Callithrix jacchus: one gene and its partners. The protein of the gene in region 5 interacts with the protein of the main gene of each other region in a biochemical or structural test. Links are inferred from orthologs where the notes say so. Each region holds a gene or a part of one and is shown on either strand. Other genes may lie near its edges.

Region 1 (4,281 bases), on a different chromosome or scaffold from region 5:
CGGTGCAGCACGCGGTAGTGGATGACGTCGCGGCCAAAGCTCACGCACAGGACATAGTCGCCGGGGTGGCGCACGGACTCTCGCACCAGGAACAGCCCGTCCTCGGGCGGCTGCAGCTGCTGGACTGCCTCCTGGCCGGAGATCTTCCCGTGGAACCACCTGTGGCCACAGAAGGGGTGGGTCAGGCCAGGCCGTGGACCGGGCAGGGGGTCACCTCCTGCCCCCCCACCCCAGGCCCCCCGTCCCACCCACTCACGGCATGAGGCTGAGCTTGGGGTCCGCGGAGAGGGCCTCCCGCTCCCGCAGCGCCCCGGCCGCCAGCAGCCCCTCTTGCCCGCTGGTGTGGTGCTTGGCGCGGTACCAGCTCTTGTTCTGCCAGGGAGGAAGCACAGGGTTGGTGTGGCGGGTGGGGTGGGGGTCCTGGGGGAGCCCCCATCCCCAAGCACCCATGCCCACCACCTGCCGCTCACCTCGCAGGCCTCCAGGATGGTGACCACGTCTCCCTTGCGGAAGGCCAGCTCCCCCGGCTTGGGGCGGGTGTGCTCGCATTTAGTGATACACTGGGTGCCCGGGGTCCAGCGCCTCTGCAGAGGGGGCCGGGGGGGAGGGGGGACATCACAGAGATGTGGGGAGCAGAGGCACAGGAGGCGAGAGAGGACAGGAGGGGGAAAGGCATGGAGACTGGGAAAGAGCAGAGAGGCAGAGAAAACAGGCAGACACCGGGGAAGGAGGGAGCCGGGGAGAGCGGGGCTCACAGAAAGAAATCGTAGAGTCACAAACAGAGGCGGGGCGCGGTGGCTCACACCTGTAATCCCAGCACTTTGGGAGGCCGAGATGGGTGGATCGCCTGAGGTCAGGAGTTTGAGACAAGCCTGGCCAACATGGAGATACCCTGTCTCTACTAAAAATACAAAAAAATTAGCTGGGAGTTCTGGCGGTCACTTGTAATCCCAGCTACTTGGGAGGCTGAGGCAAGGGAACTGCTTACACCCAGGAATTGGAGGTTGCAGTGAGCTGAGATTGCGCCATTGCACTCCAGCCTGGGTGACAGAGTGGGACTGTGTCTCAAAAAAAAAAAAAAAAGGGTCACAAACAGGGGAGGCCGGGGACAGAAGGTCAGGATGCCGAAGTGACTGAGAAAGACCAGGCAGAGTCCGGCAAGGGGAATGGGGGCAGAGAGGACAGCCCCCCAGAGGAACCGGCTGGACACACTCACCGCTGGCATCCTGGCTGAGACGGGAGGGGGATGCCAGGCTCGGAGGAAGCAGGGGCTCACCTGGGGAAAGGGCAGAGTCCAGATGGGAGGGAGCTGGACTGGGACCCAGGGTCCAGTTCCTACCACTTCCTCCCCAGGCCAGGTGGGGATGACGGCGGGGAGGGCGGGGCGGGGGGGGGGCAGAGAGAGCCCCCACAGAGGCATCCCGGGTGGGACCCAGAGCTGGCTCCCCAGCCCCTTCTGGGAGGTGATCTTTACCCGGGCAAGTTCCTTAGCAGAATCACAGCCATGAAATGCCTGCCAGGAAACCAGGGAGCCTTGCCCCGCCATCGCCCCCAGAGGTAAACTGAGCCAGGGGAGAGGCGCACTGAGCAAGTGGCCACAGTTGGGGGCGCTGGGAATGGCCTGCCACAGGCTGGGTGGCTGGCACAGGAGGCAGAGAGCTGGATGCCACTGGATCAGCCTAGTTCTTCCTCTTTTCTGGGAAGTAGGCAGAGGCAGGGTGGGGAGATAGGGATGAGTCAAGGTCATTCCCAAGAATCTCTGACCCTGGGGTGGAGGTGGGGCCAGGGGCGGGTCCTGCAGCCCTACTGGGCTCCTCTGGCCACCGGCTGAGCCTCTCTGATCGCCCCCCAACAAACCCAGGACAGACACACAACGTCGGTCATTGCTGTAGGAGTGGGGGACCCTCCCTGCCTCCCTCAACTCCCCAACTGCTGGTCGATGGGAAGTGGAGGGTGTTGGGGGGGTGAGTCTCAGCCCCTCCAATATGCGCCTCCCCTGAAGTCCTCCAGTCCCACGTGTACTCACACGCATACAGATGCATGTACACGCACAGAAACGCACGGGGCTCGGACGCAGGTGCGCGCAGATAAGCAAAGGACCCCGTCCACCTGGAAACAGGTGTGTGCACACGTCCCCGCGCGCCCAGGCGCTCCACACCCGGGAACGTGCGCACCTGTCCTCAGCCCCCGGCACACACACAGCCACCCCACACTGCAACACCTGGGCGCCAGCGCCGGGCGACCCAGGCACGCAGAGCGCCACGCAGGGCCGCGCACACGCATCTCGGCCACACACGCGCACAGCCCTCCACGTGGACGCGCGGGTACACACGCCCGGGTCTCGCAGCCGCGCACACCCGCACCCGGGAACCCCCCCACCGCCACACCGGTCCGATCGCCGCGCGCCCGGGACGCGCACACTCGCGCGCACACCGGCCCTTCCTGCGCACGTCCCGGGCCCACCCCCGCCCCGAGCCCTCGGGGTTTCCCCCACGGCCTCAGAGTGTCCCCACCTCTCCCCGCGGACACGCTCACCTGCTCAGGGTGCGCTCCCGGGCCGCGCCCCGCGTCCGCCCCCAGGAGGGCCTCCGCGAGCCGGCTGCGCACCCCGAGGCGGTCCCGTCTGCACAACTTGGAGCGAGTTGCTCCGTTTCCTCATTTTGGGGGCGAAGGAGGGTCGGGAGTGGGGGTAAGCGGGAAGCGCCGCGGCCTGGGAGGCCCCCACGGGTCCTAGCGCCGGCCGCACTGCGGTCTGCTCCACGCGCCGCGCGCCGCGGCCTCCGCCGCCGCCGCCGGCCCCTCCCCGCCCCGCCCCCGCGGTCCCGGGAGCCTCTCGAGCGCCCCGGGCGGGGTCCCGGGGCGCACGCGGGCTCCATGCCTGGCGCTAACCTGGATCTTTCTGGCGTGCGCCCCCCACCCACCCTGGGAAGCGGGGCTCTTGGGAGCAGGGGCTGGGGGCTGAGGGAGAGTGAGCTGCCCGTCGGGGGAGGTAAGCAAGGCGCCCAGCCCGGACACCCAGAGGGCCCTTATCACTCTGCAATTTCACCTCCGTCCGTGCTGCCTATTTTAGCACCCAGCGCCTCAGAGAGCTCTTTGTGGTTGACCAAAAAAGAGCCCCCCAAAATGTCAGCCACTCTGGAATCATTGTCATCATCATCAACATTAAGGGAAAACTGGGTAACAGAAAGCATCCTCCGGAGCTGCAGCCATCCGGATGCAAACTTCTCAAACCAGCCCTCCTTGGAGGGCAAAAGAGGGCTCTGGGAGTTGGGGGGTCCTGGCTCTGCCCAGAGGCAGGAGCTACCCATTTTCCAGCCGGGATTGCCTCCTCCATAGGGAGGGCGGGGGCCCCATCCGCTTCTGCCTCATAGAAGTGTTTGAGCTCACGTGGTCTTGGTGGACAGGGCCCTGCCCCTAGGGATGGCTTCGTGGTTCCGGTGACCAAACCACCCGATCCACTTTCACCCAATGGAGGTCCTTATCTTTTTAAAAATTTTTTTGACACAGGGACTCCCTCTGTCCCTGTCCCTCAGGCTGGAGTGCAGTGGCATGATCATAGCTAATTACAGCCTTGACCACCTGGGCTCAAGCCCACCTCCTGCCTCAGCCTCGGGAGTACCTGGGACTATAGGGTAATTTTTTTTCTTCCAACTTTTCGTAGACATGAAGTTTCACTTTGTTGCCCAGGCTGGTTTTGGACTCCTGAGATCAAGCGATCCTCCCACCTCGGCCTCCCAAAGGCTGGGATGACAGGCGTGAGTCACCCCACCTGGCACCTTATCTCCTTTCTAAGGGATGAGTCCTCTGAAACAAAGATCAAGCTCATCTCAGGAGGGCAATGAACCAAGACACCCAGGTGGCCTGCGCCCATCTTTAACCTTCCGTTACCCCAAAAGGGTAAGTGTCTGGACTTGGGGGCGTCGCATGATTTTGGGGGAGCAGAGGCCCAGATACAAGAGAATTACAGAAGAGCTGTGTTAAGGGACCTCCGCAGCAGACCAGGCAACTACATTGTTATTATTAGAGATGAGGTCTCTCTGGGTCGCCCAGCCTGGCCTCAAACTCCTGGGCTCAAGCGATCCTCCTGCTAAGCCCCCCTTTGCTGGGACTACAGGTGCACACCACAGCGCCTGGCCAAACCACACGATTACATGTTACGTTATATTACATTATATGCATTTTATTATATATTTTACGCCGGACCATCCAGGATGCCCTCTCATCTCAACAGCAACGATTTAATCCCACCTACAGGCTGGGCCCAGTGGCTCACGCCTGTAA
Region 2 (4,109 bases), on a different chromosome or scaffold from region 5:
TTAGATAAATTCCATTAGAGATAAATAAAAACCTTTAACAGTTAGTAGAACTGCTGTCAAACATTTTAAATATCATGTAGGTCAGTTCATACTCCAGGTCACAAAACATTTGGCATAATCCTATTTTCAGTTTCATAGGGAAGAAATTTCTTACTCAATTGATAGGACCAATGTGGTTAGGGAACGTTAAGTGCACACAGCTAAGTACAAACTGTAAGGTTTTATTCTACCCAGTTACACTACTTTATTACTCAACATACAATCAAACTACTAGAGCAAAATTACATAAGAGTTTCCTAGTTTCTTTTAAAAATCAACCTTGTTGTACTCATGATTCTCGTTTTAATAGTGTAGTGTTCTGTGCCATTGCCCATGTGGTTTCAAAAAAACTTTAATAGGATCAGTATTAGCATTTTTTCTCTATTTTTGCTTACCTTCAGAAATCCTTTTCAGCCAGTACTACTTTTTTAAAAAGAAGAAAAAAAGCCTACAAAAGTCTAGAACTACTAAAAAAAAAAGGCCTTGAAACAAACAGCCACATATTAATCAGACTTTTCTCAACTCAAATATTAAGCAAGTTGTAATTTAATCAGTGATGTGCAGTAATCAGAATTCATTTTACATTAATCAAACATTAGAATATAATAATCTTCAAAACCTGAGGCTTTATTTTAAAGAGGAGCACTTCAGAGTGCTTTTGTACCTACCACATGTGAGGCATTTCAAGTTGGAGGACAATGACTCCGCTTGAAGGAAGGCAGGGTGGAGTAGCATCCTCCCTATTCCTTTAGGAAAAAATCTTTTCTTTCTAAGGGAGAGCCAGAGTGAAGTGGTTGAGAACATGCCCTTAACATTCTTAAGATATGGAGAAGTGTGGGTTACTTGTTACGTGGCTCCCTAAGGAGAAACATTATCAGTTGGAGGGACTTCAAGTAACTGAAGCCACTAATTTCTGCTTTCGCTCTACTTTTCCTGGGAGTGGAATGGGTCAGGTTTGCTAGTACATAGAAAATCCATGAGGAAGCATTACTTCTCTCTTCCACTTGCCTAATTCTGAGTGGAACCCCAAAACCCGGCGTAGGGCTGAGGTTTCTCTGCTGCCATCCATGAAATTATCGTGAGTGGAGAATCTCTCCCTCTCTGGCTCTTTTCTCCCAGTAGTAACAGTAACAGTGCCTCACTAGTTAAGAGATACCGTGGTTATTGAAGTATTTTCTCGGCAAACGGACACTTCATGCTTGGGTATACTAATGGAGGGAGATAAAGACACACACAGAGTGTTTCCCCAACTTTTTGGCTCACATGCCTCTGCTCATGCACAACCTAGAGAAAAAGATGGAACCAACTCCTGTGTACAGATTCAGGGGATTGCAGGTGCCTAACACGATTTTCTTTTAACTACACTTGTTCACAAAAATTTCACAGGAACTTGAAACAAACATTCAACAGGAAGTATATAAAACTTTTCAATACACCGTTAAAGTCCTTCCATAAATCTATTAACATTAAATTGTTTCGAAATTCTACGCACGTCTACTTCTATATTACCTAATAAAATCTTAAGCAAGAAAAGGAGAAAACTACCTTTTCATGCTTTCAGGCCAGAGACTATCACTTAGTCTTCCATGCAGGGAGGTGCCCAGTACGGAGAAACTAACGGAGCGGCTGAATACCGCCAGCGAGGTTAGGGGAGACAGGGGAGGCAGCAACGTCTTCACTGCACTAAACACCCAGTAACCCTACCACCCACCCCTCACCCCTCTCTAATCTGCTCTCAATGGATCGCGGGGTTGGTTTTGTTTTTTTCCATTTTTGCTCCGAAGTGCTCTGAAGCAGGGAAACTTAATTTCACGTGAAGGGCCACTGTAAACTGCTGCCTCCTTTAAAAACGCATACGGGAAAAGAGTAAGTTAAAAACATCTGGGGCCACACAGAAGGTTCTAGAAGTTCTGCAGACCCCGGCTGCCACAGTCCTTAATCGCATGGAATCTCACCGGGACTTTTATATCCTCTGATTTTTTTTCCCACTCTCCAACACCCAGGTAAGTCAGAGTGTGGCCACTGATTACGCCCTCACAGGTTTAGCTTAAATCGAACGCGTCCTCTGTCGGACTAGGGGAGAAAATCCGAGAAACAAAACTGCTCCACGTCCATCCACCACAAATCTCAACAGGAAACTTCTGCGGCCGCCGCCTCACTGTGCCCCAGACCCCGGCCAGCCACACACGGCCTCCGTCCGCGAACCGCGGCGCAGCTAGCAGGACGCCCGAGACCGCCCGCCCGTCAGCCCGCTAGCCCGCCAGCCCGCCGCTCACCTGAGCTCCAGCTGGTCCAGGCTCTCCAACAGGCGGCTGGAGCGGTCGGCCATGGAGGAGGAGCGGCAGAAGCGCCCCTCGTTGGCTTTAGCGTTAATCTTCGCTTGAGCCATCTAAGCTTCTGACGTGGGGCAGCCGAGAGGTCACCGGCCCCTCCGGCGGCGGCGAATGGAGCGCTCCTGCGGCTGCAAGCGCTGCCGTCACTACGCGGGAGCCCGCCCTCCCCGCCTCTGACGCCCGCGGGAGCAACCCTAGAGGACCCGCTAACACCGCGGCTGCCGCGTGGCCAAACAAGGGCAGGCGCGGCGCCCGCGGGGCTCGGGGATGCCGGGCCAGCGAGGGAGCAGCCGCGGCCGGAGGAAGAGGTGCGCGGACCACGAGCGCAAGGCTCTGAGGCGCCAGGAGGGGCGCACGCAGAGACGTAGCGCTTAATGTGGTCTGCCGGGTCTGCCGCTTGTCTCGTCAGCTCCTCAGACCCAGGAACTACCCGAAGCGCGCGCGGACCCACAGACCACCCCCAGCTCCGCCCTGCGAGGCCCCGCCTCTCCGTGCAGACTAAAAGTAACCAACTCCCCCCACGCGAAGGTTCCTATCGGTCGATGGGCTGTGGGTGTATTGCTCAGTAATGGGTTCGTTTAGTTTCTCCCAGCACCCATAATTCAAAGCAAGAACAACGACATTTGAGTCCTGTGATATGGGGAGAAAACGGCCTTATGTAAAACACAAGGCAGTACAGCTTCTAGGCAGACTACACGCACCTGACCTTCCTATTACCACTCTTTCCTGAGATGAGTAATGAAAGCACCTACAGCAACTGAAGCTTTGAAAAAGAAAAAGCTATTCCATCTCTCCTTGTCTAGCTAGATGTGGGAAGCAAGGTGAATATATTTCATTTTTACCATTCTATTTTGAATTTGAGACTGGGTCTGTCACCCAGGTTGGAGTACAGTGGCACGATCACGACTTAGTGCAGCCCTGACCTCCTGGGTTCCATCGGTCCACCCACCTCAGCCTCCCAAAGTGCTGGATTACACGCTGGGCTTAATGAAGGGGTTTTTAATTTTTGCTATTAAAATTATGCCTGTTAAGTGAACCAAGATCTCGCCAACTGCTTCACACCAGCCAGGGCGACAGGGCGAGACTTTGTCTCAAAAAATAATAATGATAATACTTCTGAGTGAAATAATTGGTATTAAGGAGTCTTCAACTTTTAAAAATCTTCTGTTAACAAAAAGATGCAGAAGGCCTCTAGGTCAGGCATGAGCTGTAGTTGACAAAAGATGGAGTAGAGCTGAGAGTATAAAGACTGGACTACTTAAAAAGTGAGGCTTTGGTCCCTCTCCTGATAGCTCTATGCCTCTCATTGCAAGGATGAAAATCTACAAGGCACAGAAAATGATAGATAATAATAGTTTAAAGTTGAACCACCACCTTTAATCAAAGAGATCAAAGCAGTTTAAATACTTGAACAGAGTTGAAGCCCTTAAGGCTGGATCCCAATTCCCTCTGAACTCATTCTAAATCCTAATTAACTATTGGGGTAGGGGATTATTTGACCTTATTAAAAATACTCTGTCATGACACAAACGAAATCAAAACACATTTTGTGAGTGGTCTGAAAGCCTATCAAGTGACTTTGGAATCATCCTGAACTCTTTTTCTCTCATAGCCTACCTAGATCCAGCCTATTAGTAAATCCCATCAATTTTACCTTCAGAATCTATCTAGATTCTTCCCAATTATACCCCACCATTCTGGTTCAAGCTACCTGGTAAGATTGCACTTGGAGTACTA
Region 3 (4,076 bases), on a different chromosome or scaffold from region 5:
CAGTGCCCTTGCCCACAGTGTGGGAACAGCTGGCCTGCTGGGGGACCTGCAGGTGGGTCCTTCTGGGGCCATTCCGAGTCCTGGGGGGGGCAGCAGTGTGGCTGCAGCAGGACAGAGAGAGTGGCTTCGGACCATCAGCCCCGCCGCGGTGGCTCACAGGGACCCTAGTGGGATAGCAGCAACCAGGCTCGGGCTGAAGAGAAAACCTGCGGATGTCTCTGCAGCTCTCCTAACTACAAAGCACAACTTCCGCTGGTGGCCCATCCAATTCAGGGCCGGGAAAACCGATACAGCTGAGATTCAAAGCTGGAGGAAGGAGTGGAACCAACCCCAGTGTCCAACGAGAATGACCCAGTGGCCCCGAATACACCCCCAATGGGCAGGCTGCAGAGACAGTCCAGCCTGGAGGAAGCAGGCTTGCACCCCGCGCGCCCACGCCTCACTGCGCTGAGCCTCACCCACCTCTCAATAAGAACGGAGCTGTGTGCTGTTCCCTCTACCTCACTACACAGAGAACACACAGCGCTCTGTAAGCCACAGGAAACTACACGTGTGCACGGCTGCCCTTTCCAGCGCCAGCCCTTTCCTCCTCCACTGTATTTAAGAGGACTGTGTAGACCAGCTTTCCTACTCACGGTGTAGGTGGAAATTTATGTTGAGGTGAAGCTTAAAAAAAGAAAAAAAGAAAAATCTCTGTCCTATATTTCATTTCTCATCATAAGTATGCAGAAACAAGGTATTCACTGGGAGGGGGGAGTGTCCCAACTCTCCACACGGTCAAAGTTCCTGAATTCTGAAGCCCATGACTCCTAGTATTCACCAGCACCTACTTTAAACCCACTCAAAGTCAGGAAATAAATATGTTTTCTGCAGTTCATCAAAACAAAGCCAAAAGTTCACCCTGGGCTGACTTCTACTCCGTAATGCTCTGTGCCTGGTGTGAGAGCGCCCAGGAACCAGAGCATGAGGCAGGTCTGAAAGCTTACTCCCGACCGCATAGACTTGGATCCCAGCATGACTCATTCAGGCGAAACTGTCATCAAACTGAGCTTCCACCCGAACACAGCACTGAAGATGGAAAGGGGCTAAGCCAGGTTGGAGAGGTCCTGGCACCAAGGGTAGCGGGGCTGAGCTTATAAGGCCGTTGGGACACATTCTTCTCACGGCAGGCACACGCAGAAGCCGGCCCATGCAGAGGAGGTGAGCCACCAGAGCAGGACGAGGCCGCTCTGGGTCTCCACACTCGCTCCTTCCCACAGCACCAGGCCTGCTCTCAGGGGCTCATGTATTGGCCAACAGACACGGGCACACAAAAGTCAGAACCATGAGACGCTCCTTCAATTTCTAACTGTAAAATACACAGGATACTCACAGGACTACTGCAGGGAGAAAATGTGCAAAAAATAAAGGACTTCCCTTGGATTTAAAAGTAACTCCTCTATGTGACTAATTTTGGGTATTCACGAGCCCCAGTTACCTGAAATGTTAAAGTTAATAACACAAAAACAAATACCTCCTAACCTTCAAAAGCCCAATATGGTTTACCTTGAAAAATAATCCAGGAACTCTTAACACCTGAACCAAGATGTAAAACTATCCCTCCTCCTGCAAGTGCACATAACTTCAGTAAACATCAAACCCAGCGAGGACACTTTGTATTAGTTCGGAAGCCACTGAGACTTCAAAACTCAGGATCCGTTAAGCTGGAACACTCGCAATAGGTGAGGTCAAAAGGGATGCTTAAGAACACTGCTCAAGCCCTAGGGCTGTGACACAGTGACAGGCAGAAATGCTGAGTCTGAAGCACCTAAGGACCCACGTCTAAGAACAGCAGCCCCTTCTCCTAAAGAACAGACAACTTCTCAACTCTGAGAGGGATGCGGCCCCAGAAAGGGATGCCTAAACAAAGCTAACAGCTTCGATGCCCTGGGTCACTTTAGAGCCAAACTTTGCTGTTAAAATTAACAGAGCGTGGCAGGAATATTAATCAGACCTGCAAAAAATGAGCAGAGTTACTTCTTAGAACTGGTGGCCTGTAATTAAGGCGTTTAAAAGAACAGACACGAAGCATAGTTCTTCCAAACCCACAGAAAGTGAAAACAGTTTTAAAAGCCCCTTCCTGGTTTCTTCTCTCTCCCTTAAGACAGGCAGCCACGTCAAAGGGTAAAGAGGAAACCACGCGAGCTGAGGCTGCCGTTTCTGACGACAGTGGGCTCACCAACACCCCACTTCTGATGACACCGGGCAGAACCCTCACTCCTTAAGGGGTGGAAGCCCAGGCCCAGTCCTGGGTCCTAAGGAGCTCGGGAAGAGGGGGTTGAAGGGGACAGGGCAGGGTCCTGCTCGCGCCCTAAGCGGGCAGGGATCCTCTGGACTCGCGTAACCGGTGGGGGATTCCAGATCCGGGGTGCGGGTGGAGGGCAGCTTCGGAGGGAAGAGGGCGCGGGGGACTCGGGGCGGCACCGGGGAGAGGCGGCTGCAGCGGGGCGTCCGCGCGAGGAGGACCAGCCGCCCAGCGCCGAACGGACCGGGGGACCGCGGAGTGGGCGCCGCCAAGCTCTGGGCAGCAGCCTCGGGGCTGAGCGGGGTCCGGGCGGGGGCGGCCGTGGGGGGGAGGTCTGCCCGCGAACGCCGGGGCCAACGCCGCGGGAGCCGGGGCCTCAGGCCGAGCCCGCGCCCGCGCCGCCAAGCCGCGCGCTTACCTGGCAGGAGGCGGACAGGGCCGCGGGGTCAGGCCAGAGCCGGGGTCGAGCCGCCGCACTGTAACGGGGACGCGCCCGGGCGCCCACAAGCCGCCACCAACTTCCGGCTACGTCACGCTCGCAAGGTCTCGCGGGAGCCGGCGGGGCGGGACTTCCGCCTCAGGCCCCAGCCTTCGAGGCGCGCAGCCGCCCGGTCGCCATAGAGACGCGCAGACGCGCCGTCCATCCCCTCCCTGGGCCCCGGAGCGCAGCTGGTAGCTGTGGCCGTGGGGGAGGCCAGGCGGGAGATGAGTCCGTGCGTCCGCGAAAGAAAGCTGGGGTGGTTCCGGGGTGGCGCGTTCACCGGGGCCGACAACGAGGGAGGGGCGAGTAGGGGCCTGGAGCGGGGGCTCTGGGGAGGGGGCAGCAGGGGAACGGGGGTAGGAGGACCAGGGGCAGCGGGCGACAGGCAGGGAGGCGAGGGCCACGGGCAGTGGGTAGCAGGGGACGGGGGACTGGCATGGGGGTGGGGGTGCGTCCTGGGGCCCGTGCTCCCGCACTTGGGTCTGAGTCTCCCACCAGCCGAGCCTTTGGGCCCTGGCGGGAGGCGGCGGCGTTGAAAGGACCGCGGTCCCCCGCCCCTGCCACGCAGATGCCCCAGGGCGCGGGTGTGCAGTGATGGGACCCGAGTCTGCATTAGGAAGGTGCAAAGCCGGAAAAGCGGTCACCCGTGGGAGGTTAATTGCAGGTAATTTTTTGTTTTGTTTTTGTGCTTTTCTGTGCATTTCACATATTTCTCCTTGATTTGGCTGACCTTTGAAATGATGGAGAATAAACATTTGTATTGTGGTATAAGCTGCAACACCGAAAAACGTACAGGTCAAGGAGTTTTGACAAATGCATATCCCCAGGTAACATCTACCCTGGTCAGTTATAGATATTCCCAACAGAGGCAGCCACTCTTCTGATTCCAACATCTCCATGTCTTAGTTTTGCCTGTTCTGGAATATCACACAAATAGAGTCGTGCAAAATACACTTTGGTGGTGCTTCTTTCCCTTAACACGAGGTTCTGAGATTCAGCCACGTCGCACGCATCGTAACTGGTTCCTTTTTATTGCCAAGTAGCACGCCATGGAAAATACGTCACATTCCTTCATTCGTTCACACTTTGGACACTGGGGTCGTTTCTATGTTTTGGTTAGTATGAATAAAGCTGTCTTGAAAGGGCTTTTTGTAGCATATTTTTTCTTCCTCTTGAGTAATTACCTAGAAGTGAAATTTCTGGGTGTTGGATGTGTATGGAACGTTATTAAAACATGCTAAGTGGCCAGATGTGGTGGCTCACACCTGTGATCCCAACACTTTGGGAGGCTGAGGCAGGCGGGTCACCTGA
Region 4 (4,024 bases), on a different chromosome or scaffold from region 5:
TTTCAGGCTTTCAAAGGAGAGAGAGAGAACACCTAACCATTACTATTCAAAATGGTCCTCAAATGGAACAAGAGCTCTCTGCTGTTGAAGAAGACCCCCAAACCCTCTTCTAGGAGGACAAACTCACTGATTGATATGGTTTAGATCTGTGAGATCTGAACAATCTCTGTGAGGGGAACAAATCTCAAATAAAATTGTAATCCCTCATGTTGGAAGTAGGGACTGGTGAGAGGTGGTTGGATCATGATGGTGAATTTCTCATCAATGGTTTAGGACTGGAATCCCCCTTGGTACTGTCCTCATGATAGTGAGTTCTCATTAGATCTGTTTTCTAGCACCTCCCTGCCTCGCTCTCTAGCTCTTGCTTCTGCCATGTGAGATGCCTTTTCCTTCTGCCATGATTAGAAGCTTCCTGAAGCCTTCCCAAAAGTAGAAGCCACTATGCTTCCTGTGCAGCCTGCAGAACTATGAGCCAATGAAACCTCTTTTCTTTATAAATTACCCAGGCATAGGTATTTCCTTATAGCAGTGCAAGAATAGACTAATACATCGATTTTAAAGTAACTGACATCTTGCAGTTTGTGGAAAGAGGTAAACTTTCCGTAGATAGAGAAAGTTGGGGAAACCTGGGCTGAGCAGGAGAAGAGGTGAGATGACTGGAGAAGGCTGGCTGATGGGGATCGATGTGTCTCCACATCAATCAGAGAAAAGGAAGTCAAATCAGACAGCAGAGACGGGAAGACCTGCTTCATGCACTTCCTCATTCAATCTTACACTCAGGAATCCTCCCAATCCTGGGTTCCTCCTAAATGTCCCCTATTTTAATAAATAGTGTCAACATCCAAATCCTGGGTCCTTAACCCTCCTTTTCCTTCATCTGCCCACATCCAGTTAATCATGATTGATTCTACATCCAAACTGCCGCTCAAAGCCAACCGCATTTTCCCATTCCCACTGCCCCTATCCTAGTCCAACTCATCTCGACCATGAAAACAGCCCCAAACCTTCTCTCCGGCCGTTATCCATCTACCTGAGTGAGTTTTGTAAACATAAATCTACTCGGGCGGCTTCCCTGCGTAAACCCAAGACATGGAATGGCTTCCTGGACCCTTAGGGTACAGTCCTTACCAGAGTTGACAAGGCTCTCTGTGATCTGGTCTTATCTCTTGGGAACTTGCCCTGTCCCCACTGCTACTTGAGCCATGTCCAGCCATATTCAGCTTCTTTACTTCTCAGAATGTAGTGTTCTGTCTTAGGAAAAACACTCTTTCATCTGGCCAACTTGTTCTCATTTTCCTAATCCCAGCTTAAATGCTTTTCCCTTAGGGAAGCCTTCCCTCACCCCTGAGATTGGGATAGATGCCTATGTTATTTAGTGCCCTCTATTTCCCGTTTTGTAACAAACATCACAGATAAGCCAGACACAGTGGCTCACATGTATAATCCCAGCACTTTTGGAGGCCAAGGCTGTCAGATCGCTTGAGCTCATAAGTTCAAGACCATCCTCAGCAACATGACAAAACCCCATCACTACAAAAAATACAAAAATTGCTGGGCATGGTGGTGCACACCTCTAGTCCCAGCTACTCGGGAGGATCAGGTGGGAGGATCACTTGAGCCTGGGGCTCAAGGCTGTAGTGAGCTATGATCACAACACTGCACTCCAGCCTGCGTGATAGAATGAGACCCTGTCTCAAACACACACACACATGCGCGCGCACACACACACACACACCATAGATGTCTTGCCTTCCCCTCTCAAATCTGATCACCATGACAGGGATTGTGGCTGGCTTTTTGATCACAGTGTGCCAGTGGCCAGCAAAATGGCTGGCACATAACAGATACTGGAATTGGATTCACTCGGCTCCTTTATTTACATTGTCCTTTTTTCTTTCCTTACTCTTCTTGAGTCACAGTCGCCAGCACAATACAGCCCTCTGATAACAGGCAGAACAAGCAGAAGAGCTAGCTAACTTCATTAAAATCTGGGCAAAGAGCGGTGTGTGTGTGTGTGTGTGTGTGTGTGTGTGTGTCCACTGGCCAAAGAACTGACAAGAGTCAAGGTAGGCTAAAGATTCCTTGTAGAGCCAGCAACTCCTTTCAAAAGGGAAAGACTCTGTGTCAAAACCAAAAAATAAAAATAAATCATGTGCTTGTACTGGGATTGAAGGTTAATAAAAGACTGGAATTTTAATGGCATAGATGAAAAAATAAACTAAAAACATGTCATTTGTTCCAACCAAATTTGACAACTTAAAACCAAGTAAAACAGCGGCCTCTTTTAAAAGAGTAAACTATATAAATTTCATGAAAACCATTTTTAAAGGCATAGAATTAAAATATCTCTTCTCTTCTCCAGGCAGATAACACTTACAGTTCAGAATCTCTCCTCTGATTGTGACTAAGGGATGAGCCACTCCCATAGTGCCAGTCCTCAGTGAGAAAAGAGAGCCTCTCTAGGTAGTTTTCTCCCTTTCTCTAAAAAGCCAATCATTTAGACAGTCTAGAAGGAGGATAAAGTATTTGTACTGACATCCCTGCCTCTTGCTGCTGCTGCAAAAAGCTACCATGAACACTGTTTCCAACTGAAACCATTGGGTTGAACTTACCCTCTACTGCAGATTATCTCTAGGGCTTCCAAGTTCCCATGGTAGGCTGCTAAGAGAGTGGGAGTCATGCCATCTTCATCCGAAAGATTTAGATCTCGCTTGGTAGCCTCTTTTAGAAGTTCCAGATAACTATCACTAGCAGCTTGGTGGTAACGAGTAGACATTTTTTCTGCTCACCAGAACTGGCCAGATATCTCTCCAGGCAGAGCAGGGTGTTGGCAGAGCAACCTTCCTATAGCGCTAGTTAATCAGTGACAAGGAAAAGTGTCACCGGGGCAAAGCTCATTCCAGCTTCCTTTCATGGAAGGCAACAAGATTCAAGGCACTGAACTTGGACCTTTTCTCTCTGGAATGGCCATGACGTTGACTACTGAAGACTGCTGTATTCATCTTGAGTGTTTTGAGGCACATTTAATTTTTCTATGTCCGTTAGTTTCTTGAGTGTAATACTGGTCATCTAGGCACAGAATGTAAGAAATTTCTTTAAAAAATGCAGAGCTGGCCGGGCGCGGTGGCTCAAGCCTGTAATCCCAGCACTTTGGGAGGCCGAGACGGGTGGATCACGAGGTCAAGAGATCGAGACCATCTTGGTCAACAAGGTGAAACCCCATCTCTACTAAAAATACAAAAGATTAGCTGGGCACAGTGGCGCATGCCTGTAATCCCAGCTACTAGGGAGGCTGAGGCAGGAGAATTGCCTGAACCCAGGAGGCGGAGGTTGCGGTGAGCCGAGATCGCGCCATTGCACTCCAGCCTGGGTAACAAGAGCAAAACCCCGTCTCAAAAAAAAAAAGAAAAAAAAAAACACCCAAAAAATAAAAAATGCAGAGCTAGTCTAGTTCACTGTTTTTATTTCCAAAAATTACAGCTTTATTGAGGTATAATACCACTAAATTTACCCATTTTATGTATACAATTCAATTCAATGATATTTAGGACATTTATAGAGTTGCATACCCATTTTCTTAATTTTCATCAACCCTCAAAGATCCCTCATGCTAAGTAATATTCCACTGTCCTAAGATACCAAATGTTCTTCATCCATTCAATATTTGATGAATATGATGACTATTTGGGTTGTTTCCATTTTTTAGCATTGACGAATAATGCTAGTATAAACACTGATATATAAGTCTCTGTGTGGACACATATTTTCATGTGCCTTGCATATATATCAAGGAGTGAAACTGCTGGGTTACATGGCAATTTATATTTAGATTTCAGAAGCTGCCAAACTGTTTTCAAAGTGGTTATATGACTTCATATTTCCACCAATAATGTATGAGGGTTTCAGTTTCTCTACCTCCTTGCCAGCTCTTATTATTGCCTATCTTTTTGTGTATGGCCATCTAGTGGGTGTGAACTGATATTACTGTGGTTTTAATTTGCAATTCCCTAATGATATTGAGCAT
Region 5 (4,105 bases):
GGCAGGAGAACTACTTGAGCCCAAGATTTTAAGTCTGCAGTGAAGCAGAGTGAGACCCTGTCTCTAAATTAATTACTTAATTAAAAATAAAAGAAAATGTGGTATACATACACAATGGAACATTATTCAGTCATACAAAATGAAATCCTGTCATTTGCAACAGTCTGGGTGGGACTGTAGGTTATTAGGTTAAATTAAATAAGCCAGGTGCAGAAATAAAATATTGCATAGTCTCACTCATATGTAGGAGCTGAAAAGGTGGATATCATTGAGGGAGAGAGTAGAATGGTGGTGACCAGAGGCTGGGAATGAAAGGATGGGAGGGATGAAAGAAGGTGGTTTAATCAGCACAAAAAATATAATTAGATAGAAACAATTAAGTTCATATACAATAATATAGTAGGGAAATTACAGTTAATAATTTATTGCATATTTCAAAATAGCTAGAAGAAAGGAACTGTAATATTGCCAACACAAAGAAAAATGTTCCAGGTGATAGATATTCCAGTTACCCTGATTTGAACATTACACATTGTATACATGTATCAAAATATCATATGTAACCCCAAAATATGTATAACTATGATATATCAAAAATGAATTAATTAATTACTTTTAAAAAGACTCTTCCTTGTTTTCCAGCATACTTTGCTTCTGGTACCCTCTTGGCAGAAATATTAAGTGACACTCATAACTACTCCAGACAAGTATGCCCAGGTTTGAGCAATTTCTAAAATTAAGAATTAGGTGGTGAGTATGTTCCAGGCACTCTTGGGTTCTCAAGTGTAGCACTGCCTTTATCTGGACGCTGTAGACCAAAGCCTACCCAGGTTCTGACTGTCCTGAGTGTTATCAAGCAGGAGTGACTCTATCAAGTACAGAGTCGAGGGAATTAAGTTGGCCGGAATCAGGCACTTCTGAACACCAAAGCAGTGGCAAGTAAGAAGGGATGATGTGAGTGCAGGGCAGGAAGCACTATAGGCCAGTGCCCAAAGAGTGACTCATATTCCACAGGCAAAATTCCGACTTTGACTCTTAAAAGAACAGCATCTTTATTATGCCTCCATCTTTTCTTGGTTTGGTTTTGATATCAGCAGGAAAATCTATAATAGTCAAACGGAAAATATTTCACAGTTGAAAACAAATTAAAATATTTCTTCCAGATATAAATGTCCTTGTATCAAAGAAGCTAGATGGTTCACCCAGACTAGATACAGCTAGCTACAGAGATAAGCATGAAGATAAAGACAGACGCACACCGATTTAAAGATTGACATGTCTTACATCTCTCAAGCCTCGCAAGTATTAAGAAACATTGGCTTGCTGACTCCACCTCCGTGGCATTCAAAGTTCAATTCTCTTTCTCCGCATGAGTTAACTTAACACTTAGATGACAAAACAGATGTCAGTTCCCCAAATCTCAAAGTGCTCCAAAGGAAGTTATCACCTTGGCTTATAATTTTGTTTTGACTGGAAATCAATCTTAATTACCATTTTAAGGCCCCCTTTAAAAAATATATCCAAGGTATTTAGCAAATTTCTGAGTTTCCAATAGTACATATTGTGAAAGTTTCACTTTTACACGCATTTTTTATGACAGCAGTTGCAAATTATGAGGAACTCATAAGACATCACTTTCTTTAGAGACTACAAGGTATACTCTAACTGAAGGCTAGATATCTGTCTTTGAGTTTAAAAATAAAGTGCTGAGCTCTACAAGAGTTTGCCAGTGACTAAGTGGCATTTTATCACCATTAGTTATTCCCCTTTTCCAAACTGTTCATAATCCTTTTATCTAGGACACACCCTACATTGGGAAGATTCTTGGAATAGGTCTAAACACTAATGAATTCATCTTGCCAATAACGGGACTAAACCTGAACCCATTTCTATCCCCCTACTACACTATCCATATTGTGGGTTTCATAAAGTTACTTCTGAAAGATACTCAGGGAACATGTACTGGGGCCCTTTACCAGTTTACATTGTCTAATGATTTAACAATGTTCCCATCTTAAAATCACTGTCAGAGGTTCCTCAGGCCAAATTTCGGGAATAACCAAGAACTCCCGGGTATATAACACTGCCAGTAAAACGTCTCCTTCCAAATAGAAGGGGGAATGAGTTGAAGTGAAAACAATGTCTTTACCTGCTGCACACTCGCGACTCTCATATACGAGTCCAAGACGATCAACAGAGGAACGTGGATATTTTTGCCTTGAAATAACTTGGAGGCTGGAAAACAAGGGGGTGAGGAAAAGAAGCAAAGTCACAATCCACAGCACTCCCTTTCCTTTAAGTCTGAAAAAGGGAGAAAAGTCAAAAAGGTGAACGCGAGACCTCTCTGGAATTCTCAACTCTACTCAGCCCTAAGGAAAGGATATGGGAGTTTGAGGCTCCTTAAGAGTCCGGGTTTGAGCAGCGTCAAGGGAAGGAGGACGAAGTTTGCAAAAGTGAGGAGGGGGTGAAAGTTTGCAAAAATAAATGCAGTTTCCTTGAAAGTGATTACCGTGCTCGGAGTACGTGAACACCAGCAGATCCTCCAGGATTTGGACCAGCGTTTCTATCTGTTTTCCTTCCTGGACGTTGTTCAGCCTGACTATTAACTTCTTCAGAGTTTCCTCGTCCTCCTCGCACACCTGACTGCTGCCACTAGCCATGGTGGCCCCTGCTTCCAGCCCGCAGCCCTCCCAGCACGAACGTCCGCTACTCCGGGAACCGGCAGGGGCGCCGGCCACAGCTTCCCGGGGGCGAGCACAGCTCACCTCACCGCCCGCAGCCAGCGCTTCCCGCGGGCCCCATCTGCACCCACGCCCGCCTGTTTATGAGGAAGGCGGCGGCTCCCCGCCCCGCGCTGCCCTCCCTCTCCGGAGCCCTCCTGCTCGGCTTCCTCCTCCCCCACCCAGGCCCCAAAAACTAGCTCAGGGGCCTGCCCGAGTCTCGGCGGAGGCGACGGGCCTCCCAGAACCCTGGCGGCGGCCGAGCGGCTGCTGGAGCCGGGCCTGGCCGGGATGACCGTGACCGTGGCCCCCACGCCTGCCTAAACCCGACCCCGGGCTGGCGCCGCCTCCTGGGACCAGATTCCACCCCAGCGGCGGCGCGGCCGCGAGTCGCGCAGGAAAAAAACTGACTCGGCTGACTCCGCTGAGGCCCCAGGCCCCGAGCCCCGCAGCGGAGGCGCCACCCTCCGCTACCCGCCAGCGGGGGTCCCTGAGGCCCCCACAGAAGGTCTGGGAACTGGGAGCAGGAAAAATGAAAGCCGCCTATCTCCAGATCTAAGAATAGAAATCAGGGCGTTGGGAAAACAGGACACCGCCCAGATGGCCCCTTTTAGGAAAACATTCTCTTTAGAGTTCCCCCTATAGGGAATCGAGTAATTTCCCCCAAAGGACAGAGAGAGGTTAGCTTTCAAAACTTGCCTGCTACTGTCTTTTTTATGATTGTGGTGACTGTTCGTGGGAGAGGAAATAAACATTGTTTCTCTGTGAGTTATCTGAAACTCTGGTCACCACAAGGCCCCTAAATTAACTTTTGGAAATTTGAGTTGCACTAGGCAGGATCCTAATGGTTGGGACACCCGAAAAGTAATCAGCTCTCAGAGCTATTAGAACTAACATGGAAGAACAGGGTACATTAAATGAAAGGTGAAAAGGTGAGAGAAGCAAACCTAAGTACTTTTCTCTTGGTATTCAGAATTACTTATGAGTGTCCATCACCCCCAAGTTTTTTTGTTTTTTGATGTTTGTTTGTTTGTTCTGTTAAGTACCTAAGTAATGTGTTTTCTAGGAGCAACCAAGCAGGAACATTGTAGACAAGGCTAGGCAAAGATGATCTACCCTTCAGGTGATGTGTCTGTCCTCAAGTTCATCTACAAAGAAGAGGATTGGTCTGGAAGTTAGTACTTCACAATTTTAGATTTGTTTTCACATGTTATTTCAATCCTGATGACAATTCTGAAATGGATAAATGTATCCTTCTTTCACTAACGAGGAAATTGAGATTTGGAGTTGATAAGTGAAGAGCTTTGCTGGATTCACCCAGGTGGGAAGTTGAGAGCCAGAATTTCAACCTAGGCAAATCTCAAAACACCAGGTGGGAGGTTCTT
Region 6 (4,233 bases), on a different chromosome or scaffold from region 5:
ACTCAATTCCAATACCACTAAGTGATATAAAATTAAGCAGCTTTTCTTCCTTTTGTAAACGTACTGCTTACAGAACATGTGGATTTCTATCATACTTCCAGAATCGTAAGTCAGTTTAATGTAATTTATGTCTTTTAACTTTCATAATAAGGAGTGATTAAATTTTAGTTTTCCCCTCATTCCAAATCTACTAGATCTCTGTAACATTTGCCAGCCGTAATAGCATAACACTTTAGGGGAGGAATAGCCAAACTGCTTGTTCTCAGATATTTTTACTGTAAAGCCACCACAAAGGACCAACATCTAACCGACCCTAATGCCTCAACTCTTTATCGTGTTGTATGTCCACATGCTTTAAAAATACCCACGAGTCATGGCCCTTCAACTATTACTGTGAGTACTAAAATACATCACATTGGAAGTGCTTAATTTACAAGTGTTTGCAATGTCATGGCTCCAGTTGCAATGTGTAAGTGCCGCATCCTGCTTCTAGCTGTCACCGTCACAATAACTGCATGCTATCACTCAAGCTGTCCTTTGCCGTGACTACCCACCTAACTCCTTCCCTCACATAGTTTCCTAGACCTTTTCAATTTACCTCAGCTACATTTTTCTGGAAGGACATCCTTTTCAAAGTTGCTAAACAGCACAAAGACACTAATCCACACAGTGAGACCGCAGAATAAACGACTTTAGAGGAAAATATACACATAAATGAAGTGTATATTTTAAATTAGAAGGTGAACAGAAGAGCTATTCTGACCCACCCACCTTGGGAGCTGACTCCCGAATATTAATTACCTTTTACCTTCCCAGGGAAATCCCACAATACTTTTTTAACCAAATGAGAGAACATGTCCTCACATTTTAAGCAAGTAATTAGCTAATTTGGATGCAAGGTACTGGCTCACCCATAAAAATTATTTAACCTTTATGACGACATGCTTTTCCTCAGGTCTCTCTATTATTAATTTTTCCCTTAGGAACTGAGACACGCTCTCTGGCTAATTCTGCTTCTAACGAAAAATGATTTCAAACCAGCACAAAGGATTCTCTCCCCCACTACTTGGGTACAAGAGGAAGTGGATAAGGTTTCTCACACAGTAACGATGGCTCCAAGGCCTCGCCTCTACACTGCGGGCAGGACTCACCGCACCCATTTAACCCTTACCTGACTTGAGACATCGGTTAGGGTGAAAAGAAAACGGGCAGACCCGGACTTTAAAGTGCAAATCCTCGGGTCCGCGTATCTGCAACCACCCCCCTCCAGGCTCCGCCCAAGCCCGAGCCTCCGCTCAGGTCCCCGACTCTCCTCCTTTGTCATGGCGGATCTGTGTCAGGGAGCCCAACCTACTGCTGAGTGTTAATTCCCCCCCCCACCGGAGCAAGGGGGAGGAGCAGCCGGCGCCCCCGCCCCCGCTCGAGCCGTGGGGGGAAGCCAAGCCACCCGACCCCGGGGCAGAGACGCCAGAGACGCCCGCAGAAGCGGAACCACTAGCAGCCTCACCGCGGACACACCCCGCCTTCCCACCCAGCGCTCTCCCCGCCACCGATCAGCGCCGGTGCCCGCGTGCACCGTCCCTAAGGGCCCGACAGCTGCAGGTGGGGGAGGGGACGAGAGCCACACCCAGTCGAGCGGGCCACCGGCGGCCGCTCTGCTCAGGATCACTGTGCGTCCCCGAAGCGGCGGAGGGACCCTCCAGTTCTAGTGACTCCGGCGCGAGAGCCTATCGCGGGATCCGCACCCCGCTCTACCCCAACCTGGGCTCACAGCCCCAGTCCGCGCCTTCCCCGACGGTTCATAAGGAGGAAAGAAAATCATCCCCATCCCCATCCCCCGTCCCCACCGAGAAAATTCAAGCCCTTCCCCCCACCGCGGAGCCCAGGAAATTCAGCTCCAGGTCCCAGGCGAGCCCCACCCCACAGCCTCCCCCCGCAGTGGGCTCCCTTCCCGCCGCCGGGCCGGGCCCGGGCTCCTGTCCGCTTCCGCCAGGCCCTTCCCTCCCGCCTGTGTCCCCGAGGCCCCCGGCCCCTCCCCGCCGCGCTACCTCCTCCCGGGGTGGGGGAGGGCCGGGTCCCGCCACCGCAGCGCCCAGCGCGGAGGCTGCGCGAGGGGGAGGGAGAGCGGGGGAGGGAGAGCGGGGGAGGGGAAAGAAGGGGCGGCCGAGGGACAGGGGAGGGGGCGGCCTCACCTGCGCCCCCGCGATGCCCGCCGCCGCCGCCGCCGCCGCCGAGTCATTATCTCGGGCGGAAGCGAGAAGGGCAGCGAGGGCGGGGGTAGAAGCAGAAACAAGGGTGGGGACGAATCGCGGCCGGCGGCGCCCCGGCCATGCCTCGTCCGGCTTCGGGAGCAGGCGACGGGGGATCCCCGGGGATCTCGCGTGTGGGCGCCCTCCCCACCCCCGGGAGCGGGACGGGGGAGCGAGCACCGATCGGGGCCGGGGCGGCGACGCGGAAACCAGGCGCGGGAGGCTGCCGCTAGCCGCCCGCCCGAGCCCAGCGGAAGAGGAGCCGCCGCCCGTGTCTGCCGGGGAGACTCCGCCTCAGCCCCGCGCCGCCACCGTGGGGCGAGCGGGGATGAGGGGACCCGGTGAGGACGGCTCCCACGCGTTCAGAAGGCTGGCCTGGGACAGGAGGAGCGGGGAGCGGCGGCGGACGGGTTCCTCACCTGTGTCCGGAGTGGGTGGAGGCGGCGGACGGACAGGGGCTCAGCAGTCTCTGGGCGGCGGCGGCGGCGGCAGCGGCGGCAGCGGCGGCGAGGCTGAGACTCTGTCCCTGGATCTCGCTGCTCACAGGCTACAGCCGCTCCGCAGACACGGGGTTTCCTCCAATCACCAGCCCCGGCAGCAGGGGCACCACACGCACGATGACGTCAAACGCTGCTATGGCAACCGTTGATTAGTGCCCACAGCGATCTGGGCCTCGCGCAACCGCCGCTCCCCGGCGCGCGTCCTGCCCGCCCGCGCTGGAGGGCGAGCGGAGGAGCGCGCGTCCTCGCCCGCTACGGCCACTCCCCCACCCGGCTCGGCTCCCAGGTCCTCTACGCTTGTCCGGAGTGCACCTAGGCGGGAAGCTTCTGTTTTTCTTTTCCTCCCCAACGCAGATCCCCCCGACTCCTCGCCTTCCCCTTAGGTCCCCGACGTCCTCTCCCCTGCAGCCTCCACCGGCCCACTCTACCTCTGAGCCTGTGGGAAGGCAGCTGTCTCCCTACCCCTACCCCCACGTTAGCTTTCGCTCAGCCGGTCTGCGCTTGCGCCAGTCACTCCTCTCACTCCTCTGGAAGGGGCTCCAGTTCAGCAACATCCGGGACCTTTCACATCCCCCCCACCCCGCCCCCCTCCCCGAGGCCCGGCCCGCCCTGCCCTGCCCTCGGTGCTTCGCGGTGGTCACTGTCCCAGGGCCGTCCCGGGGCAGGATGACGAGTGTGGGTCGGCGGCTCCGGCATTGTGATCAGGACTTGCAGGGTGGGGGCCCTGGGGCGAGGACAGGGCGCGGTCGCAAGGCAAGGGAGGGCTGTGTGTGGTGTGCTCCCCTTGCTCGGCTGGGTCGACCAGGGGGCGCGGCCGCTCCCTGCTTCCCTTACGCCGCCGCGGCTTTACCTGCTGGCTCCGGGGAAGTGGCCCTAGACCTTTTATGGCTCGGAAACGGGAGTGTGGCTGAGTGATGGGGAGGTGTTCCAATCGGGAGCTCGGGATCTGCGCTCGGTGACAGCGAGAGGGGACAATGGGTGGGCACCGAGATGGGGCGAGGTGGGCCGGGCCGGGCGGAGCCGGCGGGAGGTCAGGCCTGGAAGGAGGCGCGGCCGCTTTAGGGAAGCCAGAGTGCGGAGGGGAAAGGATCGCCTTCTCCGGTGGGGGGCTGGAGCTGGTCCTGGCACAGCTGACCCGGAGACGAGCAGTCAGGCGTGACCGCACGGGCCTGTTTCTCGTAGGCTAGGTTTTCCTACCCAAATAAAGCGTTCACGTGAAGAGCTCACACTGCAGTGATTTAAAACGTGACTATCATTACCGTTTTGTCTTCTAAAAGCAAGCTTTGAAGGACGTCGTAGTCCCCAGGGCCCCAGCTGGCGATGGGAGTGGGCCACAGGCCGGGCGACGAGCGGGGACAGAGCCCGGAAGAGGGGGAAGGAGAAAGGCGGAAATTGCAGGTGCCTGAACCGGTAGGGCCTCCGCCCAGTTGACTTAAGGAAGTTCAGAAACACAGTGTGATCTCTGCCCCTTCCTTCTTTAAACG
Region 7 (3,500 bases), on a different chromosome or scaffold from region 5:
AATTCAGGATCAAGGACAAGAAGCTCCTGCTTAAAACTCCCAGCTGCACATCTGCTGAGGCCTAAGCTCCCAGCCTGCTGCTTATGAGTCAGTTCCACAGGATTTTCTCCCTTCAAGCTGGGATCAGCTCAGCCCCCCATCCCTCTGCTCCTCCACCCTCGACTCCACTGCATGATGCAAGGTCTATTCCAGGCAAGAGCCTTTCCCCAAGGTGGGCAGCATGTATGTGTGGAGCAGGGGGCACTGACTGACCAGGCACCACGTTTCCAGCTGTGGCTCAACTCAGTAGTCTGCGAATCCCAGTAGCACTGCTGCTCCCTCACCCCCATCCAATCCTCCTTCAGCCATTAGGGCTTCTGAGCAGAAGGGCATGGCCCTCTTTACAGGCAATTCTTTGCGTGTGTGTGTGGGGGGGAGGGCAGAGTCTCACTCTGTTGCCCAGGCTGGTGTGTGTGTGTGTGTGTGTGTGACAGAGTCTCATTCTGTTGCCCAGGCTGGAGTGCAGTGGCTTGACTGAACTCACAGCAACCTCTACCTCCCAGGTTCCAAGTGACTCTCCTGCCTCAGCCTCCGAAAGGACTACAGGCCCATGCCACCACATTCGGCTAATTTTTGTACTTTTAGTAGAGATAGGGTTTCACCATCCTTGTTGGCCAGAATGGTCTTGATCTCCTGACCTCATGATCCACCCGCCTTAGCCTCCCAAAGTGCTGGGATTACAGGCGTGAGCCACTGCACCTGGCCTACAGGCAATTCTTACTCCCCACCACCTTGTACAAAAAGCTAGAAACTCCTCTTCCTCCAACACCTAGGGCAGGGACTAACAGCTGGCAAATATTCTCCAGCTATGTCATGAATGAATGAGTGAACTCCCCAGATTGATCCTGCCCTCCTTTTTTTCCATGTATTTGCTAAAATCAGTAAGTCCTCAGCTTTGCTAGTTTCTTCTACCTGTTTTCTGGGCATTTCTCCTTACAAGATCATAAGATTGGCTGGGCCTGGTGGCTCATGCCTGTAATCCCAACACTTTGTTTGGGAGGCTGAGGCAGGTGGATTGCGAGGTCAGGAGTTTGAGACCAGCCTGGCCAGCGTGGTGAAACCCCGTCTCTACTAAAAAAATACAAAAAATTAACTGGGCATGTTGGCGTGCGCCTGTAGTCCCTCCCAGTTACTCAGGAGGCTGAGGCAGGGGAATTGCTTGAACCTGAGAAGTAGAGGCTGCAGTAAGCCAAGATCATGGCACTGCACTCCAGCCTGGGTGACAAAGCGAGACTCTGTCTCAAAAAAAAAGACCATAAGATCCCCCAGGGCAGAGACTAAGACTTATCAAGTCTCTGAGTCCCACCATGGGGCATTTTCGGGTATGATGTGTCCTTTTCTTTCCTTTTTTTTTGAAGACAAAGGTCTCACTCTGTCACCCAAGCTGGAGTGCAGTAGCATAATCACAGCTCACTTCGGCCTCAACCTCCTGGGCTCAAGTGATCCTCCCACTTCAGCCTCCTGAGTAGGTGGTACTACAAGCACATGCCACTATGCCCAGCTAATTTTTTGTATTTTTTTTGTGGAGACAAAGGGTCTCACGTTGGGATTACAGGTGTGAGCCACTGCGCCCGGCCGTGTGTCCTTGACTAACTTACACTCAAGGCACAGGTTGAGAGTTCAGCCAGCCTGTTACTCGATCACAGCTGTGGGCTCAGAAGCCCAGCCGTGGCTGAACTGGAAAGACCCCAGGGCTGCTAAATGGAGTAGATATGGAGGTGGGGGCAGAAGCGGCCCCACCAGCCTGCTGAAAGGCCCAGGCCCCCTCCCACAATCTGTTTTTTCACCCTACTCCCAAACTCCAAATATGCAAAGCAAAGTTGGGTGTGAGCCCCCTGTGCCATGCCTCTAGGTGTCCGTCCCCGGAAGGCAAAGTTACCTGGGACAGGAGATGGAAAGCCAAAGTCATTTCCGACAGACACACTGCTGGATTTAGATTTCTGGGATTCGTATTTCAATCGATCTGGAAAAGGACCACATTCACAAGTCAGGGAGGTTAGCTCCTGGGCTCCTAGGGGCAGGCTGGGCTGAAACGTGGTAGGTTGCTAGAGGCTGAGCCCCCAAAATCACATGAGCACACAGCCACCCAAAATATGAGTGCATACAACATCTCCCAGCTCTTAAAGAACCAGCAGTGAAAGAAACTACTACTTGACAACCATCTAAAATGTCAGAATTAAAAGGACATGGAGAGATTATAGAGTCCAAACACCCTCATTTAAAAGGAAAGACCCAGCCAAATGTGATGGGATCACGCCTGTAATCTCAGCACATTGGGAGGCTGAGGTGGGTGGATCACCTGAGGTCAGGAGTTCGAGACTAGCCTGGCCAACATGGTGAAACACCGTCTCTACTAAAAATGTAAAAATCAGCCAGGCATGGTGGCATGTGCCTGTAATCCCAGCTACTTGGGAGGCTGAGGCAAGAGAATCGCTTGAACCTGGGAGGTGGAGGTTGCAGTGAGCCGAGATCGAGCCAATGCACTCCAGCCTGGGCCACAAGAGGGAAATGAGCCACTGTGTCTCTAAATAAATAAATAAATAATAAAGGAAAGGCCTTGAGACTTCCAGCACCTTTGCTGCAGAGCTGGGGCTGACCTTGGGCCTCAGCTCAGCCTTCTCCCTGCACAACTTGCTCCTTCCCCACCAACACACCATCCGTTACACACACAAGCTCTCACGCCATGGCCATCACAGCAACAGAGCTCCACGGCCCTCTCATTTCCTCCAGCCCAAACACACTCCCACCCCTCAGGGGAAAGGCAGCCAGGCTGGGGAGCAGGGTCTCCAACCCAGAGACAACCCAAATACCCGCAGAGTTCCAGAGCCCCTGCTCTAAGGCCTTCCACTCAGGAGCTTCCCACGCACTGGCGCCCATGGAGCCAGTCATTCTGTTCCCGGAGCTCCAGACACATCATGCCTGCCTTGGGGCTGGTGCCGTGGGGAAGGGCAGTGCTCTTTTCCCTGCTGTCCTGTGCCAAGACCAGTGCCTGGCACAGAGCAGATGTGCAAAGGGAAGAAGGCCTAAGAGTGTACACCCTCCTTCCTCTGAGTCCCGAGGGAGAAAGGGGTGGCCAGTGACGCAGGTCCGCACTGGCAGAATTCTGGGGCTCCCATGGGATAACCTGGTGGGAGTCATGCCTTGCAGGACAGAAAGCACCTGGCCCCCTCAGCCCCCAGCTCAGTGCTTTCCCGAGCCGCAAGGCTAAAGCCGGCATCACCTCCCTTCTTCAGCCAGGGAAAAGTGGCTGCATGCACTGCCCACCTCTCTCCAGGGCGAGGAGGAAGTCACGGTTCCGCTGCAGCTCCTTCATGAACTCCTCATTTTGCAGGAAAAGAGCGATCCTCTCGTCCTCCAGGTACTGCTTCCAGCGGCTCTCCTGGTCTCGGGGCCCTGACCCGGCCATGGCCGGCAGACCTCCCTCTCCACTCCCAGGCTTGGGGCCCCCAGCATTACCCTGG

Evidence for each region.
Region 1: the proteins of LRRK2 (region 5) and MATK interact on a protein array, tested with the Homo sapiens proteins (2 studies listed by BioGRID and IntAct, with this or other methods). The link is inferred for Callithrix jacchus from reciprocal best matches to the Homo sapiens genes LRRK2 and MATK.
Region 2: the proteins of LRRK2 (region 5) and BAG2 form a complex in vitro, tested with the Homo sapiens proteins (2 studies listed by BioGRID and IntAct, with this or other methods). The link is inferred for Callithrix jacchus from reciprocal best matches to the Homo sapiens genes LRRK2 and BAG2.
Region 3: of the proteins of LRRK2 (region 5) and ARFGAP1, one has a biochemical effect on the other in vitro, tested with the Homo sapiens proteins (3 studies listed by BioGRID and IntAct, with this or other methods). The link is inferred for Callithrix jacchus from reciprocal best matches to the Homo sapiens genes LRRK2 and ARFGAP1.
Region 4: the proteins of LRRK2 (region 5) and ANKS4B interact on a protein array, tested with the Homo sapiens proteins (2 studies listed by BioGRID and IntAct, with this or other methods). The link is inferred for Callithrix jacchus from reciprocal best matches to the Homo sapiens genes LRRK2 and ANKS4B.
Region 6: the proteins of LRRK2 (region 5) and YWHAZ interact on a protein array, tested with the Homo sapiens proteins (3 studies listed by BioGRID and IntAct, with this or other methods). The link is inferred for Callithrix jacchus from reciprocal best matches to the Homo sapiens genes LRRK2 and YWHAZ.
Region 7: the proteins of LRRK2 (region 5) and CUEDC1 form a complex in vitro, tested with the Homo sapiens proteins (2 studies listed by BioGRID and IntAct, with this or other methods). The link is inferred for Callithrix jacchus from reciprocal best matches to the Homo sapiens genes LRRK2 and CUEDC1.

What each region holds. Positions count from the first base shown.
Region 1 is NC_133523.1:3,556,268-3,560,548, forward strand, and holds the start of MATK (megakaryocyte-associated tyrosine-protein kinase), read right to left. Parts: upstream 2,801-4,281; 5' UTR 2,536-2,800; intron 2,110-2,535; 5' UTR 2,033-2,109; coding exon 2,027-2,032; intron 1,697-2,026; coding exon 1,475-1,696; intron 1,277-1,474; coding exon 1,217-1,276; intron 585-1,216; coding exon 471-584; intron 373-470; coding exon 257-372; intron 160-256; coding exon 1-159.
Region 2 is NC_133505.1:65,540,759-65,544,867, reverse strand, and holds the start of BAG2 (BAG family molecular chaperone regulator 2), read right to left. Parts: upstream 2,801-4,109; 5' UTR 2,429-2,800; coding exon 2,316-2,428; intron 1-2,315. UniProt on the Homo sapiens protein: Co-chaperone for HSP70 and HSC70 chaperone proteins. Acts as a nucleotide-exchange factor (NEF) promoting the release of ADP from the HSP70 and HSC70 proteins thereby triggering client/substrate protein release.
Region 3 is NC_133506.1:58,761,192-58,765,267, reverse strand, and holds the start of ARFGAP1 (ADP-ribosylation factor GTPase-activating protein 1), read right to left. Parts: upstream 2,801-4,076; 5' UTR 2,703-2,800; intron 2,511-2,702; exon of another isoform or gene 1,546-2,510; intron 667-1,545; exon of another isoform or gene 463-666; intron 1-462. UniProt on the Homo sapiens protein: GTPase-activating protein (GAP) for the ADP ribosylation factor 1 (ARF1). Involved in membrane trafficking and /or vesicle transport.
Region 4 is NC_133513.1:22,403,180-22,407,203, reverse strand, and holds the start of ANKS4B (ankyrin repeat and SAM domain-containing protein 4B), read right to left. Parts: upstream 2,801-4,024; 5' UTR 2,777-2,800; coding exon 2,613-2,776; intron 1-2,612. UniProt on the Homo sapiens protein: As part of the intermicrovillar adhesion complex/IMAC plays a role in epithelial brush border differentiation, controlling microvilli organization and length. Plays a role in assembly of the complex.
Region 5 is NC_133510.1:35,491,794-35,495,898, forward strand, and holds the start of LRRK2 (leucine-rich repeat serine/threonine-protein kinase 2), read right to left. Parts: upstream 2,801-4,105; 5' UTR 2,661-2,800; coding exon 2,510-2,660; intron 2,236-2,509; coding exon 2,150-2,235; intron 1-2,149. UniProt on the Homo sapiens protein: Serine/threonine-protein kinase which phosphorylates a broad range of proteins involved in multiple processes such as neuronal plasticity, innate immunity, autophagy, and vesicle trafficking.
Region 6 is NC_133517.1:96,015,691-96,019,923, reverse strand, and holds the start of YWHAZ (14-3-3 protein zeta/delta), read right to left. Parts: upstream 2,801-4,233; 5' UTR 2,669-2,800; intron 1,323-2,668; exon of another isoform or gene 1,172-1,322; intron 1-1,171.
Region 7 is NC_133506.1:108,462,366-108,465,865, reverse strand, and holds part of CUEDC1 (CUE domain-containing protein 1), read right to left. Parts: intron 3,497-3,500; coding exon 3,304-3,496; intron 2,003-3,303; coding exon 1,919-2,002; intron 1-1,918.